2 linked regions of the Lepisosteus oculatus genome follow. The protein of the gene in region 2 purifies or fractionates together with the protein of the main gene of each other region. This does not show direct contact. Links are inferred from orthologs where the notes say so. Each region holds a gene or a part of one and is shown on either strand. Other genes may lie near its edges.

Region 1 (10,695 bases), on a different chromosome or scaffold from region 2:
TCTCTGAAATTATTCGCAAAACTCCTCATCCTTCAGCTGCTTCTTTGATCCCCTCTCCCTCTCTCTCCGATCCACCATATCTCAGAGGCTCTTCTTCCCTCATGTACAGCACAAGGTGACAGCCATCCCAGAAGTCTCAGCTGCCTGGTTTAAAATGTCACCTAACCAATGGTCATCCAGGCATTGGTCAGGTGACTGAGGACAGCAGGTGACTCCCCATAGCTTCTTGGGACGTTGTAGTTTAACAAGATCTTCTTCTCTCTTATACATTTTATACATTTTGCCCCTTGAGCAAAGGTACTCTGATCCCAGGTGTACAAAACAAATATGGAGTTAGTAATTTCCCGGCAAACAGAGTGGCTACACTACAAGGAGTTGTTCTGAAGCATGCAGGTAGTGGAGTGGGTTCAGTGCATGCTTTTAAATCTCTGAGAGCTTTTTTTATTTTGGATGTCCATCATGGCACCAACATAAAAACCAGCAATGTCAAGGCCTGGTTACATTTGTTCCAGGTAGCATTAATGTTTAAATCTGTTCTTGCTAATTCACCCTAACTTGTTACATCAGTTCATGTCCAGACCAGAGGTCATTGGAAATTCGGGTCTCATCTTAATTTTCAGACCATTTTAGGAAGGACACTTGTTATTAAAAATATGAATGTAGCATAGAAAAGACATCTTTATAACTGTATGTAAATGTAGAGCAGGAAACTTGAATAAATTTCGTTATTAAGAAAAATCCTGCTGCAAACAGGATGCACCCTTTGAGACAATAATTTTCTCAAATACACTAGATTGAACTGAAACTTATACATTGAAATACAGTTATTTGAAGAACCCGACAAATACTGCGAAGGTAAGGATCATGGGGCGCTAAACTAGTGTAGCTTGTGAAACACTGCTGCCCTCTTGTGGTATTAAGCTGTAATAGACGTGCAATTAGTCTCTAAAGAACAGCAACGGAAACACTACCTCTCATATTGTTCTTGGAAGAAATCACAATAATACAAACAGGATATCTTTCCAAACCTTTTTGAGACAAATAAAAAAGTTTGTAATCTTCAAGACAACATTTCATAATGTCTGGATAATTTCCCCACAACAAAGTTTTGGGTATATAAGCTGATGCCAGCAGCCATACCACCCTGCAACTCAAACTGGCAACCCCCTGAAGCTCAGCAGGTGTGAGCCTGGTCAGTACCTGGATGTGAGACCTCCTGGGAAAAACTAAGGTTGCTGCTGGAAGAGGTGTTAGTGGGGCCAGCAGGGGGCGCTCACCCTGCAGTCCACGTGGGTCCTAATGCCCCAGTATAGTGACAGGGACACTATACTGTAAACAGGCCCCGTCCATTGGATGAGATGTAAAACTGAGGTGCTGACTCTCTGTGGTCATTAAAAATCCCAGGGCGTTTCTCGAAAAGAGTAGGGGTGTAACCCTGATGTCCTGGCCAAATTTCCCATTGGCCCTTACCAATAATCCCCCTCTATGAATTGGCTCCTCCCCACTGACAGCATCATCCAGGTGGGGACTACACATTGGTGGTGGTGGAGGGGAGTCCCCATTACCTGTAAAGTGCTTTGAGTGGAGTGCCCAGAAAAGAACTATATAAGTGTAAGCAATTATTATTAGATTTTTTAAACTCTAATAATTTTTAGGTTTTTGTGTTTAGTTGATATGAAAAGCTCATAAAAACAATTAAATAATTTCACCGCAGAGCAAGTTGGATCTATCTCTCTCACCACGTACAACCTGATGTATTTGTTTGATATGTCCAGTGGATGTTTAAATGTGCTGCTTTAATGGAAACTGTCCATGCATCTAGATGCAAAGAGCTAAATACACGATTAACTCAATTTTCACTTTAAAAACAAAAAGTGCCTGGAAATATACTGTATCCCAACAGAATGGATTAGTTTAAATGTACTTTCACAAAAAGTTCTTACTTGAACTTCAGTCTAAATTGAAAATCTTGGGGGTGATATGTGATTCAGGCTTGACATTTGACCCACATGTGCAATATATTGTCAAAACATCCTTCTTTTTCCTCTAAAATATCACCAGACTACATCCTATGTTATCACTTACTGTAGCTGAAAAGCTGATCAACACGTTTGTCTTCTCCTGAATTGACTACTGTAATGCTCTACTCGCTGGGGTTTCTAAATCCACATTGACCAGGTCCAATGACTCCTATCCTGGAGTCCTTGCACTGGCTTCCTGTCAAGTTTCGAGTCGACATCAAAATACTCATGCTCACCTGTAAGGCTCTGCATGGCTTGGTACCTCAGTACCTGTCTGAGCTATTATCGCCCTACTCCCCACCTCGCAACCTTCACTCTTCTAATTCTGGTCTCCTAACTGTCCCCCAAGCCCGTCTACACTCTATGGGTGACAGGGCCTTCTCCTGTTCTAACCCCAAGCTCTAGAATTCTATCCCCAAGAATATGAGAGTCACCTTCTCTAAACTCCTTCAAATCCAAACTCAAAACGTTCTTCTTTAGAAGTGCCTTTACTTTACTTAACTGTTTCTGTTCTTTACCCCTCTGCTCCTACTGTATTCAATATCCACCATCTACTGGCTCCTCTCATTGTGCATTTCTTGTGTACTTTTTATTGTTGTTGTCGTTCTGAAAAGCGGTTTGAGAAGTCATCTTTAAAGGCGCTATATAAAATAGTTTTTTATTAAAAAAATAAACAGTCGTCAATTAGCGCCACCTGGTGGTCTCTTGAGAGATGTTAAATTTGCTTCTAACCGTTGAGCCCAGTACATCAGACCAAGCTCATTGAGCAGAATTACATACATTACTCCAACATAGTACCGCAACCGTTGGAGGAATCTGAAGACCACCTAGACATAATCAAACACCAAATTCTTCGTACAGGATTAATATAAACAAAACGCCATGATTTAATAATGATACACTATTTAACCTTAAAATAAGCGAAAGCGGCTTCTCAACCAGGAATTCACAGCGTGACTCTCCTTTGAAGGAGAAGGTGACAACTAAAAATCCTTGCTGACTAACACTTCCTACATAACAGCCGCTGGGTTATTTCTCCCCCGCAGATAGCGATTCAGGCATTTAGGACTGGGGAGGTTTACCAATAGCGCAAGGTTTGTACACCTCTACACCGTTTCCTCGCCACATTCAAATCGTCCAACCAAATCTCGCTCTTTCAAGGTCCCGCGAACGTCATGACGAAGATATCAAACTCTCGCGATATTTCATGTCAAGGCTTTTGGTAGGGAGTTTCGATATCCCTTCTTATATTACACGTTTTCACACCCGGAAAGGTAACAGGGCAGCCATATTGCTGCGGTATGATTTCGCTTAGAGAGTTACAGTAGGTAACATGACCAAAACGCTGATGGCCTTACATTATGCATTATATATTCAGTCAAAAGCAGTAAATGCAAACAAGTTCATTTTGTACGTCTGAACATTTGACATTGGTTTTACACATTACCGTCACTAAAGTGCCTGCCTAACGTTATGTAGCTTGTGCTATCCCTCTTGTGGGTCTTACCCAGGTACAATTAAGCTAAATGTAAATCGAGGACCGTGAGCATTTCAATTTGTATCTAAGCTGATATTCTGTTTACGTCAATACTTTTCCAAATCTTCAAAATGCATCTGTCCAAACGTCACCTTTAGATACTATTTACTTTTAATGTATTAATTTCTACTACATTTTTTTATCGACCTTATCTTTTATTCTCCCAAGTATACCTTACACGTGTTCTAATCCATTAAGTGGACCTACTGTTCCGGTTATCATTTCGATTGTTTGAATTTAAGTACATTGGTAATTCAAGAACCATTAGCGATTTAAACGAAGGGCCTTTCTTCGGGGTGTAACAGCAGCGTAAACCAAGGATTTGAAACCAGAACTCTCAAATCCACAGCGATCATTACCGCCAGCAATTTCTGCCCTGTTGCAGTCATTTTTACACACAAAAAGACGTGGTCACAATGACAGATGATGGAGGTCCAGTTATTTTGACTTGGTGATTTAATGTAGGACTGTGAGAAACTTTTTTTTCCCCTCAAAATTCAGATTTTCGTGTTACCAAGACCACATAAATTACCCGATCGATCTGTAGCTATCCATGACTCAAAACTCTCTGCTCATATATATTCTTCTTGTATTTCATGCATTGATTCATTTGTGTATATAAAAGTGGGTATTGTTTTATTTAGCAGATCACCGTGCACGTTAATTCGATTCTACATTACAAGGCTAAACTGTATTCTATAAGACTGTCTTATATTTATCGTCATTATTTTTTGACGTTAGACCTTAAGGTAGATATAAAAATAACAAGGAGAATGCCCTGAATCTCGGTGAGCATCCCCTCCTCGTGTTGAATGAGTTTTTTTTTTCCTGGAAGAAAAACAACTGAATAGTAATATCGTGAAACTATATAATTCATGTGCATTAAATTGTAACCACTGTATTTTAATTTTTCGCCCTCCTTCTTCCATTACCCCGCATTAAAACTCGTTGTTTTCCAATACCAGACATTTCACAAAATCAAAACATTTCAATCACTTTAGAACATTTCACTAATACAATACCTTCGGGAAAAGAAAACTTTACAAGCCGTACTGTACTTCTGAAGCTCAAGGCTCCCTGTTTTGTGCAGCCATGCTACCCTCTGTCCGTGATCGATTTAAAATGGGTGTATTTTGAAACACGTGGTGGCCAAACACTAGAAGCACATGGGACGCCACTGTTTCACTCCCATTGGGTGTCTGTAAATGGGATTTGCTTGCGGGTGGATATTATGTATTTACTGAAAAGAATAGCCGTTCCTATGTATGTTACACTTTGCGTTTTTACTTTGTGTTTTTGAAGTATCACTAAAAACTTGTTAGAGCTCATGTGCACTTTAAAGTCACATGGGTGGCCGGCACTTTAGGTTTAATGGGCTGTGAACGGAACTCGAGATACCGGTACAATCCACCGAGAAGTCCAGTACACAAAAAAAGTTAATATTTTAACAGGTTTTATCGTATTTAAATTGGAAGTTTTTTTCTCATTCATAGTTTCAACTAAATGCCAAATGGTTCGATGAAATTGAAGCTTAAAAATATGTTTCTTTATTTAAAAAAAACAAACAAATTATATCAATCCAGACACGAGTATACACCTATACAAATTTCACACTAAAAATACATATTACGAATACTGTGCAGTACTAACTAAATCCACTCTCGTCTCTTCAGGGCTCGGACAAGCGCGTTCACGAAAACCCCAGAAGCCGAGCGCGATGCAAATTCCTGCGACCCGATTGGCCAAGAAATAACACGTGGGCGTGGAAGGTGGAACGCGCACAACAGTAAAGCACCTCGCGCTTCTTCCTGCGAGTCCGTCTTTCTCGTCTCAGCGCCTCACCGAAGAGCAGGGTTAGGCCACGTGTGGAGCAGTGATTAAAACTTGCATTAGCTTTTTCGTTTTCCCGATCGATCTTAGTCGAGTAAACAACCCCGCAGACAGTCAAGATGGTGAAACTGGCGAAGGTAAGATGTGATTTTCATCGCCGATTTCAAAATATAAAGTTCGAGGCGATGGGTTTGATGTACAAAATGGCACTGGAGATGTGAGATTTTGTTCCTTTCGGTTTGCCTTGCCCGAGCATTTTTTTGCAGCGGATGAATGTTTTTTTTTATGATTATGCGGGTGCAGTCGTGTTTTGGGGGTAACGTAGGGGGTTATTAGTTTCCGGATGAAAGACGGAGCACAATGGAAGTGCGTTTTGGTGCCTGTTCAAGCCGACCCAGATTTCGAGTAATCAGCCATGTTTTTCTGCGTGGTGAACTCTTGTTTCTCAAAATGGCCATGCCTGCGCATTCGCCTGCGAGCGCGGAAGCTGTTTTTTTGGTTTATCGCCTTACTTGATTACATTTGGGTCTTGTTTGAAGCAGTAACTCCTCTTAAATGTAAAATATAACTCCTAGCAGCGTGAGCGCTTTGCAATTTTGGTAAAAAAAGGAACTTTCCAATTTGGTTGCGCTTTTATATTATGATGTGGGGAAAGAAACAGACGACTGTTTCTTAATTGCTTTATTTCTGGTAATGATTAGAACCGTGATCGTGCTATATGTAGTTTTTCCATTTATGTTTATTTCGGGTTTGTATTAGCTGGATATAGTTACATATGACTAGGCCTCGCGGAGCACCACGTGGGTTTTCAGCGTGGAGCCATCACGCAGTCACCACGACGTGTGTCCGTCGAGCGGTTTAGACATTAGTAGTTGGACATTGCAGGCTGTGTGCTGAACATTACCTTTTTTATTTTTAACTATTTTGAGAAATTTAGATTCTAAACATGCTAGCAAAATAGTGTCTTAGAGAGGGAGCACGCTGTGGAGGGGACATGGCGGCGGTGGTTTGTACTACACAAGCGTAGTTTTTTTTTTCCGGTGACCCGACCATTTTCCGTATACAAGTACACAATTATTTCGATGTACAAACGGTTACAATATTTTTTGACACCCCAAGGCGATAAACAGTTTTTTTGCGGCCTATGAATAAACAGCGGATACCCCGCTGGGTAGTCATGCTTCATATGAAGTGGGTTTTTTTTTCTTATTTTAGGCAGCGAAAAAACCGACAACTACCCCTAAGAAAAAGGCCCCACCGCCCCCTAAAGACGTGGACTCCAATGAAGAAGAGGACAGCAGTGAAGAGGAAAACGAAGAGGTAAGAGCGACAGAGACTCGCCGCAACACGTGGGCTGAGGGTCGCGCTGTGTCAGCGTGGAGCCAAACCGGAGGTCGTGTCCTACACGTGCTTGTGCGATTCGGGCCCTCTTGTTTTGGAGTTGGTGGTTTCGCTGGAAGGTGTAAGGTCTCTTTGGACAGTGACCCGTGTCCTAAAACGGGGTTCGACTGGGAAACCCAATACCGGTTTAACAAAGGGCATTTCTTTGTGCAGAAAGGGGAATCATGTTTTTTTTTTTTCCTTTCGGCTTCAGGTACCTCCCCCAAAAGCCAGCGCCAAGAAGGCAGCCACGCCAGCTAAAGTAACGAAAGCCGCCAAAAATGGCAAAGTGGCACAGAAGCAGGAAAGTGATGAAGACGATGGTAAGTGATGAAACGCGTCTGGGAGCCTTCATCTTTCACTCCATGCATGTTATAGGGTGAAGTGGAAGTGCAAAGATCTGGACAGAGGCTGTTGCATTTGTTGTCAACCACCAGGTTTCTAAAAATGGTGTCAACCATGTCGGAAATAACCAAAAGCCAGTGTTTGGCAGGATTTAGTTCTTAACCTACAAGATGCTAGCTGCAGTGAGTGTTAATTAAGGAATTGGAAATGCCCAAATCTTAAATCAGCATTTAGATGCCAGCAATACACTTATCACTATTATACGAAGCGTAGTTAATATTTTGAAGTGTTGTGTGGAGTATAAAGATGGTTCCACTCAGTTGTTCCTTCTTTGTAGAGGCTTAGGAAGCTGATATACTTGCCTTTGTTGAGCCAGAAGGACAATATATTTTGAACCCCACTGCTCTGAGGTTTGCATTGGGGGGGAGGTATTCCCTTTTAGTTCAAAATGTTTTTTTTTTCTGAACGGGGGAATTTCAGCTGTGATATTCCCCTGTATTTGGTCCTGAGTACAGTATGCTGGATTAACTCTTGCGTAATGTGATGCTCTTCAGAGGAAGATGCCCCCCCAGTCCCCGCCAAGGGCAAGGCCGCCAAGGGCAAGGCGGCGCCCCTGAAAAAAGCCGCCAAAGCTAAGAAACAGGAATCGGAGGAGGAGGATGACGATGGTATGATCAGTCACGGTGACTTTCTAGCTGTCAATAACATCCCAGCAATAGTCTTAAGAGGGCAAGGGTGGCTCGCCAGTGTTTGGCAAGGAGCTGGGGAGAGGAAGTTAGATCTCTGGGTTCATGGTTTTAGATCCTGGATGGAGCACTGCTGTTGGACCCTTCGGTAGAGATGAGCAATATAAATGTTGTCCAGGTGGCATTTGTCCCCAGGAAGGGCCTTTTTGGGCTGGTTGCTGGCTAGGCCTCCACCCCTCTTCAGACCTTGACTTGGGGCTCGCTGACATCCCTGCCGGGGCCCTGATCTTAAACCTGCTCGGGCCGGTCCGAAGCCCGGGAGACTCCTAACCTGTTCTGTTGTCGCAGATGACGAGTCGGAGGAAGAAGCCCCCCCACCCAAGAAGGCCACCCCAGCAAAAGCCACCCCTGCCAAAAAGGCCGCCCCCGCCAAGAAGCAGGAGTCCGAGGAGGAGGAGGACGATGATGAAGATGGTGAGTGACGGTGCAGTGATTCAGGGAGGGGGTTTAATAGCCTGGGGTGGTCTTGAGTTTCCAAGGCACTTGAGTGTGTAGGGAAAAATGGCCTCTTCCCTCCCCGCCTGCAGATCTTTTTAAGCTACTTAATTGATTTACTTAATTAAAATCTTCTTGGGTCCTGTTTTATTTGGCGGTGGTTCAGTTAGCTTAGCGCTCTGCTGGAGTCAAAACAGGAGGGTGGGATCGTGGATATGCAGAAACCCGGTAGGCTTACCATATCCTGAAGGTGCTGCCAATACAGAGGTGTGCCTTCAATGCACAATGCAGTTGTTATAATCACATTGTGTATTTTAGAACCTCCCTAGTTCAGAGGGAGTGAAACAGAGGGCAGTGAAACAGTTTGGTGCTTTCTGGTGATCACAGATGTACCCTAGTTGTCACTCGTCAGAAAGCTATACTTTTAGGAACATTAAGTTCTTGAATCCTTGTATCTGGTCCGAAGCCCGGGAGACTCTTAACCTGTTCTGTTGTCACAGATGACGAGTCGGAGGAAGAAGCCCCCCCGCCCAAGAAGGCCACCCCAGCAAAAGCCACCCCTGCCAAAAAGGCCGCCCCCGCCAAGAAGCAGGAGTCCGAGGAAGAGGATGAAGATGGTGAGTGGTCTTGTGGGAATTGCATAGGTGGAGGACAGTTCAATGCTATTGAAAAGCTTTGTGCATGCAGAAAAATTGCTTGTGATTTTTTTTTAATGAACCTGTTGAAAGCAGTTTTAGGACAAATGTGCAAACTCAATATTTAAAGGAATAATGGCTAAGGTTTGAGTTTTCCCCAGATATGATGTTCCTGGCTCTCCGGCGGGTTTGTGCTTTCTGTGTTGATTAAATATGCAAGTCTGAGTTTAAGAGAAGAAGGCTCTGACCTTTTTGTTCCCCTGGTGCAGATGAAGAATCTGAGGAAGAGGCCCCTCCACCCAAAAAGGCCACTCAGGCAAAGTCTACCCCTGCAAAAAAGACCGCCCTAGCCAAGAAGGAAGAGTCAGAGGAGGAGGATGATGAAGAAGATGATGAAGAAGATGGTGAGGGTTGTTTTGTTACATTTCAGAGCTGAAGGACAGTCTTACCTAGAAACTTCAGGCTTTATCGGATGTATAAGTTGTCACGACAATGCAGGGCTTCTTACGTATTTGTTGCAAGGTCTGCAGATGTTGAGCTATGTTAAACTGTTTGCCAGCGGTATGTGTTTAAGATTATACAAAGGGTTGCAACCAGATTATGCAAGTTGGAATTGCAGCAAGCACATATGATGAGCATTAAGGGACTTAATACTGAGTTGAGTACTTGATGTCTTTTTTTCCATACTGATGTGCTTGAAAATATGCAATTGGGTGGTATTTCTAGAGATCTCCCGTCAAACCAGACATTTAAGCTCCTGACAGTGGAATTTAAAGTAGTGTGATGATTGGTATGGGCTTGGTGCGAGGCTGGGGAGAGTGTACCAGTGAGGCAGCACTAACTTGTCCAGTGGAACAGTGGAAATGAGCACGTTGTGGTTTTCATTCCGTTTTAAAGACTCAGAAGTCGAGCAGATGGACACGACTCCGGCTTCCGCTGCTAAGGCAAAGAAAGCTGGTATGGTGAAAGCAAAGGAGGAGTCTGAAGAAGAGGACGATGAGGAGGACGACGACGACGAAGAGGACGATGAAGACGAGGAGAGTGATGAGGAAGGTGAGTTCAAAGCCCAAATCTCTAGTGTGTTGAGAACTGAGGAGTGAACGGCTGGACCTCAACCTGCAACTAAAGGCCCGTTTGTAACTTGTGTTAGCGCTTATTTTGTCTTTACGTTGTTCTGAAAATGTATGCGGCTGTGATTGTTTGCCTTTCCTGTTTGAGACCACATATGTGTAACTGGACTGTTTTTCAGAGCCTGCTCAGACTCCCGGGAAGAGGAAGAAGCCAGAGCCAAAAAAGAAGGAGACCCCACCTGCCAAGAAGGCAAAATCTGAGCAAGAAGGTTAGTAAAGATCTTGGTGTCCAGCTCAGCTAATCAGAACGTCTCCCTTGTTCCCCAAGATAGAACATAAAATTTTATGTTTTGTCTTCAGTGGTTGTGCACTATTTAAATCCCATTCTATTGAAACGTGAGGATATAAATCTTATTTTGTAAATTAGCCTTTTTTTTTACTTGGGGAAACTAAATTGGCCAAAGACGTGTTTAAAAGAGAGCCCTCGTGACAAACCCCAATAGTGCTGAATATTGTATAATTCCATTCACCTCTGGAACAGGGTGGCAGGGGCTTGTCATAGGATACTCAGTGCTTATAAGAAAAGTTGGGGGGGGGGGTGAAGATCCAGTCTGGTTAGCCACTGGGCTTGGTTTTCATGCTAAGCAATATTGAATGTAACTAATTTCTTTTTTTTAATTATAATTTTTTTTAGGC
Region 2 (10,986 bases):
TGAGGGAACCAGACCAGAGCCCGCCAGTCTGAGACGGGCTCAGCGTGGGGATGCTGGGCCGCATGAGCGGCGCACACTGACCTTCCTTCTCGTACAGCACGTTGAAGGGCTGCAGCAGCTCGTGTTTGGCGCACTCCACCACGCCCAGCCGCGCCTTCCCCTCGTCCTCAAATGCCCTGAGAGAGAGAGAGAGAGATCAGAGGACAGCGAAGGGAGCGGTCAGATTCCCTCCTCGCGGTCAATCAGCAGACTGGACTGTTCTTTATTTCTCTGATGTCCTGCAGATTGCTCAGTCTCACATGGGTCCTGCTCACTACCTGCTGTCTGCTCTTGTCTGTGGCTGTGCTGTAATCAGTTCTGCCAACATTAGGGGCTCCCTGTTGAGGGGGCATGTGAGCAGCAGGGAGGAACCGTGAAAGAGACCAGAAAAGCGAGGAATGAAAGGAGGACAGAGAGGAGAGCTCAGATCACTCCCAGCTCAGTAAGTGGGGGCCTGTTTTTGGGGTCCTCCAGCCCGGCCCAGCCCACCCCACGCCCCCCGTGTGGCACTACCGGAGAGTGAAGGGCATGCCGTCGAAACGCCTCTCCACCTCGCTGAAGAACACGCGCGAGGTCTTCATCTTCAGCCCGTACTGCTTGGTTGGGTCCCGCTTGTAAATGGTGGTCCTCTGGCCAGCGTCCCTCGCCTGTAACAGAGTCAGACAGCAAGACTGAGGTCAGCGGCGAGACAGACAGGGACGCCTTACAGCCAAGTGAGAAAGACTGCTTACGTTCCTGCTGTATTATTCATTTTTTCTCCCGTTTAGATTTCAATGCTACAAGGCTACTGGCCGAATCATCACTGTACATGTCATTTGTTTTCAACCATGCAATTAAAGAATGAAATGCAGGTATCAGAGCAAAAGGAAAAAGACCATATACCCTACCTTCCCCTCTCCGGTGCTGATCAGCACGTCCACAGCGTACACCTCGTGCACCTCGAACTCCGCCTTCTCATGATCCTTCCTGCGGACGGACACGCAACACAGCCAATCACAACACGGGCACAGCGCGTCAGTGTCCTCGTCCAGCCAGCGTGGCAGGAAGTGGGGTTGGTGGGGGGACGTTTCAGAGTTACACACTTCTGAGAGGGTAAGGCACTCAGTTGAAAGCACTATGCCATCACACGTCATTTAACAGAGAAGATGCTTCGGTACGACCAGAAAAGCAGCTGACCAGGGCTCACCTCTGCTGATCTGAAGGGTTCTGAATGATGGTCTTCTCTCCATCAATAACGTGCTGCTTCAGCTGGTGAGACAGCATCCCTGCGAGGAGGATCAAGAGGGGAAAAATCAGAAAACGACCAAGCTCCCAGGAGACCTGCCGCTGAAACAGACACAGCAGTGACCAGCCGCACTGCCTGCTGGTCCTGGGAAGCGTGCGAAAGGCCCCCTGGCACAGGGCAGATGAGCAGCGTGGGGCACTGTCGGGGAGAGGGGTGGGGGGGTTCTGAGACACTTCCGGTGCAGAATTAGCAACTTCAGCTCGTCTCTCCAGGGTGCCCCAGGTGGGTCACACTCACCCTCGATGGCCGTGCATTTGAAGGACTGTGCAATCTTGTTCCAGGCCTCTGTCACCTGAGTGTTCTGGGAAAGAGAGGGAATCAGCACATGAGGAACTCGGAGAAAATGTCAATAAGAACGATTTCTTTTGCTCACTTCAGAACCCCAGAACTGCCTGCGGCCCGGGGCAGTCGGCACACCTACCTGGTTGCCGGGCTTGACGAGACGCAGCGCAGCCTCAGCGCACAGATGGGCCGCTTTGATGACGTCAGCCTTGCGCCCCGTCACTGGGGCCTCCTGCAGAGGGGCCGGACGAGAGAGGGACGAGAGGGAGCGTCAGTGAAACAGACGGAGCAGAGACGGACTGGGCACAGACACGGGGGGCGAGAGACCCACCTTAGTCGCTCCCACGACGAAGCTGTGAGCCACGTTGGCAATGAAGCCGTCAACATGGACACCCAGGTCACTGGGGACAGGAGAGCAACAGGCAAGGAAGCGTTAGGGGTCATGTAGCGCTCTGACAGACTCTCAGGCACAAGCACTCAGGCACAAGCAACACAACCTCTGGGCCCCGCACACACACACTACACAACCTCTGGGCCCCGCACACACACGCTCCCACACTGCACAACCACTGGGCTCACACACATACACACACGCTTCCACACTACACAACCACTGGGCCCACGCCCACACACACTACACAACCACTGGGCTCACACACACACGCTCCCACATTGCACAACATCTGGGCCCCCCACACACACACGTGCGTGCATGCCCACACAACACAGCCTCTGGGCCCCATACACAACACAACCACTGGGCCCACGCACACACACACGCGCGCGCGCATGCGCCCACACAACACAACCACTGGGCCCGCACACACACCACACAACCTCTGGGCCCTGCGCGCACACACATGCTTGCGCCCACACAACACAACCACTGGGCCCGCGCACACACACGCACACAAACCAGAGCACAAAGCAGGAGAGATGCAGACTCACATCTTGACCAGGTCTCCCTCCTTCAGCGTATAGTCAGGGTCGCTCTTCAGTGGGGAGAAGTGGCAGACACAGTTATTGACGGACACACTGGTGGGGAAGGCAATGCCTAAAGAGAGAGGAGAGGCGGTTACTGTCATGCCACAGGAACAGAAAACCCCACCTGTACACCCAGCCATCACTTAAACCATCCCAGAGATTCTGCTCTGTAGTTCACGCTTGTTCCACGCACCCACCACCCTCGGGGTAAAGAAGCGCCTCGTGAGCTGAGGCAGACACGCTCGTCCCTCCGCCGCCCTCACCTTTCTTCATCTCTTTCTCCTTCTTGAAGATCTTGCCAGTCTCCTCCATGATGAGGGCGTCCCCCTTCTCACAGAGAGCCAGGACAGACACCCCGGGCTTGGCTGCCTCCACCACCTTCCGGAGGGCCTCTGAGAGACGACAGCGGGACAGGGCATCAACAACAGCACTACTGACACAGCATCAGACAGGTGCTTGAACACCCGCAGGGCAGACACAGCCAGAACATATCTGAACGCAAGTGCTCCACCTGGAAGGACATGTCTGGCACTCTGCTGGGACTGACCTGGAAGTGGAGGTGGATTCTTATTCACCCACATGCTGGGTGTTTCATTAATTAGACTGTAACTGATGCAGACAAATTAGTTGAAGTAAAATTACATATTTTTCTGATAATTTGAAACATCTTAAAATGGCATAATCTGGACTGGAACACACTGCTGTGCACTGGGAGTCTGGCTGACAATGCAGTAAACCCTGGACTGCAACACATTGCTGTGCACTGGGAGTCTGGCTGACAATGCAGTAAACCCTGGACTGCAACACATTGCTGTGCACTGGGAGTCTGGCTGACAATGCAGTAAACCCTGGACTGCAACACATTGCTGTGCACTGGGAGTCTGGCTCACAGTGCAGTAAACCCTGGACTGCAACACATTGCTGTGCACTGGGAGTCTGGCTCACAGTGCAGTAAACCCTGGACTGCAACACATTGCTGTGCACTGGGAGTCTGGCTCACAGTGCAGTAAACCCTGGACTGGAACACACTGCTGTGCAATGGGAGTCTGGCTCACAGTGCAGTAAACCCTGGACTGGAACACACTGCTGTGCACTGGGAGTCTGGCTGACAATGCAATAAACCCTGGACTGGAACACACTGCTGTGCACTGGGAGTCTGGCTGACAATGCAGTAAACCCTGGACTGGAACACACTGCTGTGCACTGGGAGTCTGGCTCACAGTGCAGTAAACCCTGCACTGGAACACACTGCTGTGCACTGGGAGTCTGGCTCACAGTGCAGTAAACCCTGGACTGGAACACACTGCTGTGCACTGGTAGTCTGGCTCACAGTGCAGTAAACCCTGGACTGGAACACACTGCTGTGCACTGGGAGTCTGGCTGACAATGCAGTAAACCCTGGACTGGAACACACTGCTGTGCACTGGGAGTCTGGCTCACAGTGCAGTAAACCCTGCACTGGAACACACTGCTGTGCACTGGGAGTGTCAACATGTTGCATTTCTATGGTAGTGTTCAATCTGATCGAATAACCCAGTGTCTGCAGAATTCATAAGATCTACAAATGCACATTTAACGCACCCCGGTAAAACCAACAACGTTATTATTGCAATTCCTGGTACCCGGGCTGGGAAAAACAGAAATTATAATGGTATACTGTGGGACTCGCTTTGAAAGGCGCTATATCAGCCTCCAGGACATAACGGACGGCTTGTAAACCAGCACACAGGTTAAGCACAGAGGTCGGCGGCGGGATCGTACAGGGGTACAAGGGTACCCCACAGAGCTCGGGTCTGGGGCTCCCCAGCCCCTCGTGCTGACTAGTTCGACACGTGAGGGAGTCACAGAGACACGCGGCGGTACACCTGTCACTTCTGTGCAAATAAATGGCTCGTTTCCTACTCGGACCCGTGTATTTTTAAATAAAACGATTTCGCTCACCGTCCTCAAGCGAGTGGATCGACCGGTCATTTAAAAATCCAACACGTTAACATAATGAGCTACTACAACAGATGCGCGTGTGTGGTTACAACACGGAATGGGGCACGGAGAAAACTTAAAATTTTCAACCGATGAGCCACAAAGCGGATTATTCTAATTTTTCTTTACCGCGATGACCAATAATTACTCTGTACTGAGCTTTACATGAGTGAACTAAGAATATCAACCGGCAGTTTCAAACGGCAAGCGAATATCCGTTTTGTTTGAACATAATGTTTTAATCGCCTGTCAATATGGTAAAAAAAAGCAAAGCCAATACGGGAGATTATAGCCTCCGTCGGCTTCAGGCCCTGCAATCGCTCTGTCTCTCCACACGCTTCTTTAAGGCACATGGCCGCTACTAGACTCAAGGCAGGCCGGCTGTTTCGGTCACATCGGCATTTAAAGGCAGACGAAACTACCCCAAACCGTGTTTTCCCCTCCGCTGAACCATTTCTGTGAAACTTACGGTTGGCGATGTCGCCTCCCATTTTGTACTTGGTGACCACCAGGTCCTCCGCGATGGTCTGCTCTTGCTGTTCGTCGTCTCCGGACATCTTTCGTCGGCGGCTCTCCAACGCTTCTCTCTCCCCGGTGTGTCGGCGGCGAGCTCAGTCTGGCAGACAGCTCGACCCCGCGGCTCCGGCCCGGCCTCCACCGCGCGTCACCAGGCCCGGCCCAACCGCCAAAAAGAAAAAAAATAGGGGGCGCAGCATCACGGTCCTGCTTGTAGTCTTTTTTCACCTCGCTCATCGGGAACATCTACATGAATGTGGGATTGAAAAAACTACATTTCCCAGATATACGTTCGTTCTGCCTTAGTATTACAGTCTGCTTTTTTTTTAAAAGAAAACGAATGAGATGCGTCATGCTCGTGGCGCCTTGTCCCCTGGGAATCTGGGAATTGTATTTCATTCCGGTGTGAGTTTGCGTGAATTGAATTATAAAGTCAGTTTCCTTTAGTTTCAAAATGTGCCCCACTGCGACGACTCTCGCCGTGAAAAGCTGAGTAAAATCAATGGATGAATATGACCCACTGCTTTATCGTACAGTGAAAGAAACACACAATTTCAATTCAATTCAAGGTGCTTTATTGGCATGACCAATGAGTACAATCAGTGTTGCCAAAGCAAAACAGATACAATTAACATAAAACCAAAATCTACAGACATTTACAATAAAGACACAATCCTAAAATGTTTACATATAGACATATTGAGCATAACTGGGAGACAGACTCACTGTTCCTCAGGCTGTGACAGAAGATCACATACTGGACTGCCAGTTCAACTGAGTTCCCTTCTCTAATCTGAATGTTTCTCTAATCCCAGAATATTTGTCCAGGTGCAGTAAGACTTGCACCTCTGTCTCTGTTTCTCCCCGCTGGCAGTGGGAGCACAGCCTGTCCTCTCTGGGCAGCCGGGTCTGCCTGTGTCGCCCAATTTCTATGGCCAGGCTGTGGTCACTGAGCCTGTACTTCATCAGGGTCTGTTTCTGTTTGCTGTTATGTATCTTGGTTAGATATTCGGCTAGTGTGTATTGTCTATTTAGGGTTCTGTAGCAACAGCTGCAGTAACCTGGCTTTCCTTATAATAATAATAATAATAATAATAATAATAATAATAATAATAATAATACAAACTTTACTCTATATAGCACCTTTAAAGGTGCACTGGGAGTCTGGCTCACAGTGCAGTAAACCCTGTGGCTTCTCAAACCACTTTGCAGATTGACAACAACAAAAGAAAAACACAAGATATGCACAATAAAAATACACAATGAGAGGAGACAGTAGATGGGGGTACAGAATACAACAGGAGAAGAGGGGTAAAAAACAGAACCAGTTAAGTAAAGGCTCTTCTAAAGAAGAATGTTTGGAGTCTGGATTTGAAAGAGTCTAGGGAAGGTGACTCTCTGATATCCTTGGGGATGGAATTCCAGAGCTTTGGGGTGCAGCAGGAAACGGCCCCGTCACCCATAGAGTGTAGACTGGTTTGGGGGACAGATAGGAGGCAAGAATGAGAAGAGCGAAGGATGTGAGGTGGGGAGTAGGACGACAGTAGCTCAGACAGGTATTGAGGTGCCAAACCATGCAGAGCCTTATAGGTGAGCATGGGGATTCTGAACTCGACACCAAACCTGACAGGAAGCCAGTGCAAGGACTCCAGGATAGGAGTAATGTGATCACTAGCACAAGATCTGGCCTGGACTCTGCCCCAACTACTATCTCATCTTATTGTATATTTTCAATTTTAGACATACTGGAGTTTGTGAGTTAGAAACCCCAGCGAGCAGAACATTAAAGTAGTCAATTTGGGAGAAGATAAATGTTGACCAGCTTTTCAGCAACAGTTAGCAATAAGATAGGACCTAGTTTGATGACATTTCTGAGGTGAAAGAATGATGTTTTGGCAATATATTGCACATGTGGGTCAAACATCAAGCCTGAATCAAATATCACCCCCGAGTTTTTCAATTTAGACTGAAGTTCAAGTACAGTGCCATCCACACATAGGGTTACAGCACTGGCTTTACAAAGTTGTTGTGAGGTGCCAATAAGAATGATGTCCGTCTTGTCACAGTTTAAATGAAGGAAGTTTGGAGTCATTCATGTTTTTAGGTCAGAGATGCAAATAGAGAGAACAGAGACAGCCACATCAGTGTGAGGTTTGGTATGGACGTAGATCTGAGTATTGTCAGCGTAGAAATGATAGTTGAGGCCGTGCGATCCTAAAAACTGACCAAGTGGGAACATGTAAATACTGAAAAGTAGGGGGCACAGTATCGAGCCCTGAGGAACACCAGATGCAATGAGACCAATTTTAGAGCTAAAACTGCCGAGATAGACAAAGTGACAGTGATCAGTGAGGTAAGACTCAAACAAATTAAGAGCAGAGTCAGAAACTCCAAACACAGGTCAAGACGAGAAAGTAAGATATCATGGTTAACAGTGTTGAAACAGGATTGAAATAAGGTGGTGGGGATGGGATCTAAAGGCAGGTGGTGGATTTCAAATGTGAGCAGGGAGAGTCAAGTAGAGAGAAGTTAGAGAGAAGGGAGCCAGTGAAGTTGGGCAAGCAGGGGGGAGGTGTGGAGGTGACATGCGCCGTGGAGAGAGTGTGATGCCAGGCATTGTCAATCTTGGAGCTAAAAAACTAAAAATGTGTTGCAGAGTTGGGAAGAGGCAGGTAATGTGGTGGGGCAGTCTGGCTTTAGCAGTCTGTTGATGGTGGAGAAAAGGTGTCTGGGGCTGTTATGGTAATGTGAGAGAAGTAACTGGATCTAGCAGACTCTATCATATCCTTGTATTCAGTCCTTGTATCAGAAGCCTCTCATCCTGGGACTGAACAGGGCCGGCCTAGCCGAGCTTAAAAGTAGGGGTAGTAGCTGCAGGATTGTAACTCTGCCAGAGGGAACACCCAGAGTGGTGGTGTTAGCAGCCAGCGATATCTGTGCTGCAGTAGGACAGAGGTGTCAGATCCAGTAGCAGCTGTGCATTCATGAGAGAGGTGCCTAATCTGGCAGTGGCGGCAGCAGCTGCAGTAGTGATACACTAGTAAGCATTAAGAAATCAAACACAGTCAAAATTAGATGCATCTTTATGTTGCTTTTTTAAATCTCTTATTCAATACAAAGATGGGATTTCAAAAATACAGTCTATTTTACAGTACAACAGAGATAGAAATACAAATAAAGAAGAGCTATATCATTTTGTTCATGTGAGAATCCATACAGTACAGACCTCTCAAACTGGCCAGTTTATTAGGAACACCATCCCATCCCTTCTTAAAAATACACTTCATTGGGTTGCGGCGCACAGAGCTTGGACAGACCGCAGGCTCAGCACGGCTACTGCCGCGTACACCGGACACGCCCCAGACATGCCCAGACACACCCCAGACACGCTCCAGACATGCTCCAGACACACCCCAGACACACCATGGACACGCCCCAGACACAGCATGGACACGCCCCAGACACAACCGGACACGCCCCAGACACACCCTGGACACGCCCCAGACACAGCCGGACACGCCCCAGACACACCCTGGACACGCCCCAGACACACCCCGGACACGCCCCAGACACACCCCGGACACGCCCCAGACACACCCTGGACACGCCCCAGACACACCCTGGACATGCCCCAGACCCACCCTGGACACGCCCCAGACACACCCCGGACACGCCCCAGACACACCCTGGACACGCCCCCTACATGCAGACACCCCACAGGCATGATCGGGGGGTCCAGTCAGAGTGGGACCAGGGGGGTGGCCGGTCATGACCCAGAGCGAGGACGACCTCTCTGGTGCCGCTCTGCAGGCCGCTAGGTGCGCACGGCGTCGGGCTTCAGGAAGAGCCTGCTGTGCCAGTAGTCGGGGTTGTCGAAGGAGCGGTCAGCGCCTGGCTCCCCCACCCCGGCCCTCACCTTCACGAAGCCCCCCAGCTCCCCGGGCCGGCCCCTCCTGCCCCCCTCCGCCAGGTTCTGGTACTCCACCAGGGGCAAGGAGTCCATCTGCTCGTACTCGTCCGCCTCCCCCCGCAGGGCCTTCCTCAGCCTGGGCTGCTTGTTCATGTACTGGTAATCTTCCTCCTCCTCTGCGTCTCCCTCCTGCTCGTCCTCCCCTCCCTCTTTATCACCCCCCGCCTCCTCCTCGGGTTCCACTCGTTTCTCTCCGTCTTCTGCAGCTGCAGCTCTGTCCTCCTTCCTGCCTACGCAGTCCCTGGAGCTTCGACAGTCCAGCTCCTCGCTGCGGATGTCCATGTATTCGTACTCCACTGCTTCCTGCTCCTGCTGCTGTTCCGATCCTCCGTCTCCTTCCTGCTGTGACTCGCCGCCGCTGTGATCGGGGCTGACGGAGAGCTGCCTTCTCCGTTTCTGCACTCTGTCTCTACCAGCAGGAGGTTGCCGGTCATTACAATCCAGCAGCTCATCAGACTCTCTGTCTCCACCAGGTGGCAGATCCTTGGCACTGCACTCTGGGCTGGGCTGGGACTTCCTGTGCGGTTTCTGGTCTCTGGCGCCCTCTGGTGGGGGCTCAGCGGTACTGGCCACTGAGGCAAGAGGCAGCAGGCGTGTCTGTTTGTTCATGTACTCGTACTCCTCCGAGTCAGGGTCTCCCAGAGTCCCCAGGGAGCCACGACTGTGGGAACCCCTCATTCTGGACAGGGTGCCAGTTTGGGAGGGTGAGAGAGAAAAGATGCTGGCTGTGGACAGTAAAAAAGAAGAGGAAGAGAACAGGAGTTAGTAAGTTATTACTCCAGGACACCATTGGCCAGACTCAGCCCTTGAGAAAACGTTAAGCAAATAATAAACTAATTCAAGACCCGGGTAGTGAGTCTGTCAGCTACACACACTCCCGGTTCACACCGCTGTCTGGGGGCTCACCTTTCTCTGGGCTCTCCAGCGACCCCGGCAGGACGTATCCATAGTGGTCCTCTTCCTCGGCGGCGCCGCTCAGGCTGACGTGGTGCGAGAGGTAGGCGCTGTCCTCCCGGCGGCGCCCCCGGCGCAGGCTGCCGCCCAGCGAGGCGTCCTCGCCCGCCTCCGTGTCCGGCATCGTGCCCCGCCCCTCCGAGCACTCCGAGATCGTCCGAGCCGAGTTCAGCCGTGAGCGTGCGGGCCAGAGCTGCGGAACACAGGAGAACTGGGTTGCTTGTCCGACTAGTGAGTAGTAGACTAGTGACTAGTGAGGCCTCGTGCACGGTCACTGATTACTGCAAGCGAGTGACTTGTTAGGGAAGCCTCGTGCATGCTCACTGAACACTGCCAGCGAATACCGGTAAGGGAGGCCTCGTGCACGCTCACTGAACACTGCCTACGAGTGACCAATGAGGGAGGCCTCATGCACACTCACTGAACACTGCCCGCGAGTGACCGGTGAATGAGGCCTTGTGCACGCTCACCGAACACTACCAGGGAGTGACTGGTGAGGCCTCATGCATGCTCACTGAAAACTGCCAACAAGTGACTGGTGAGGGAAGGCCTTCTGCACGCTCACTGAACACTGCCAGTGAGTGACTAGTGAGACCTCGTGCACACTCACTGAACACTGCCAGCGAGTGACCATGTGGAGAATAGTGATTTTTTACTCCAGATACAGGGTGCAGTGAGTGTTTACACTGGCAGCTGTTGAATGGTCTCCTCCTGCTTCTGCCCCTGCTGTGTTCTTGTGCTCCAGTGTCACTGTGGTGATATAGTGTAAGTGAACGGGCCAGCTGCACTCTCAGGCAGACAGGTGGGCAGAGAGACAGTCAGTAACTGCGATAGGTGTGCTCTGGTCAGGACACTGCTGCTCAAACGACACATTCAGTATGTCAGCACACATGCAGCTGACATGTGAAAGGATGTCAAGAGACTCACCTGTCTGTTGGGGTCTCCTGTCCCAGAGTTCATCTGCAGGTACCCAGCC

What was found.
Region 1: the proteins of proliferation-associated protein 2G4 (region 2) and ncl purify together in Homo sapiens (affinity purification with mass spectrometry; 3 studies listed by BioGRID and IntAct, with this or other methods). This does not show direct contact. The link is inferred for Lepisosteus oculatus from reciprocal best matches to the Homo sapiens genes PA2G4 and NCL.

Annotation. Positions count from the first base shown.
Region 1 is NC_090708.1:8,865,908-8,876,602, forward strand, and holds the start of ncl (nucleolin), read left to right. Parts: upstream 1-5,359; 5' UTR 5,360-5,507; coding exon 5,508-5,525; intron 5,526-6,603; coding exon 6,604-6,708; intron 6,709-6,982; coding exon 6,983-7,091; intron 7,092-7,667; coding exon 7,668-7,781; intron 7,782-8,147; coding exon 8,148-8,273; intron 8,274-8,794; coding exon 8,795-8,911; intron 8,912-9,198; coding exon 9,199-9,333; intron 9,334-9,550; exon of another isoform or gene 9,551-9,624; intron 9,625-9,826; coding exon 9,827-9,982; intron 9,983-10,178; coding exon 10,179-10,268; intron 10,269-10,693; coding exon 10,694-10,695. UniProt on the Homo sapiens protein: Nucleolin is the major nucleolar protein of growing eukaryotic cells. It is found associated with intranucleolar chromatin and pre-ribosomal particles. It induces chromatin decondensation by binding to histone H1.
Region 2 is NC_090696.1:14,664,982-14,675,967, reverse strand, and holds the start of proliferation-associated protein 2G4, read right to left. Parts: upstream 5,247-10,986; 5' UTR 5,128-5,246; coding exon 5,040-5,127; intron 2,983-5,039; coding exon 2,854-2,982; intron 2,661-2,853; coding exon 2,555-2,660; intron 2,008-2,554; coding exon 1,938-2,007; intron 1,839-1,937; coding exon 1,746-1,838; intron 1,626-1,745; coding exon 1,562-1,625; intron 1,305-1,561; coding exon 1,226-1,304; intron 1,006-1,225; coding exon 927-1,005; intron 687-926; coding exon 553-686; intron 177-552; coding exon 82-176; intron 1-81. Other genes in the region: receptor tyrosine-protein kinase erbB-3, read right to left, coding at 8,901-9,781, 9,963-10,203, 10,938-10,986. UniProt on the Homo sapiens protein: May play a role in a ERBB3-regulated signal transduction pathway. Seems be involved in growth regulation. Acts a corepressor of the androgen receptor (AR) and is regulated by the ERBB3 ligand neuregulin-1/heregulin (HRG).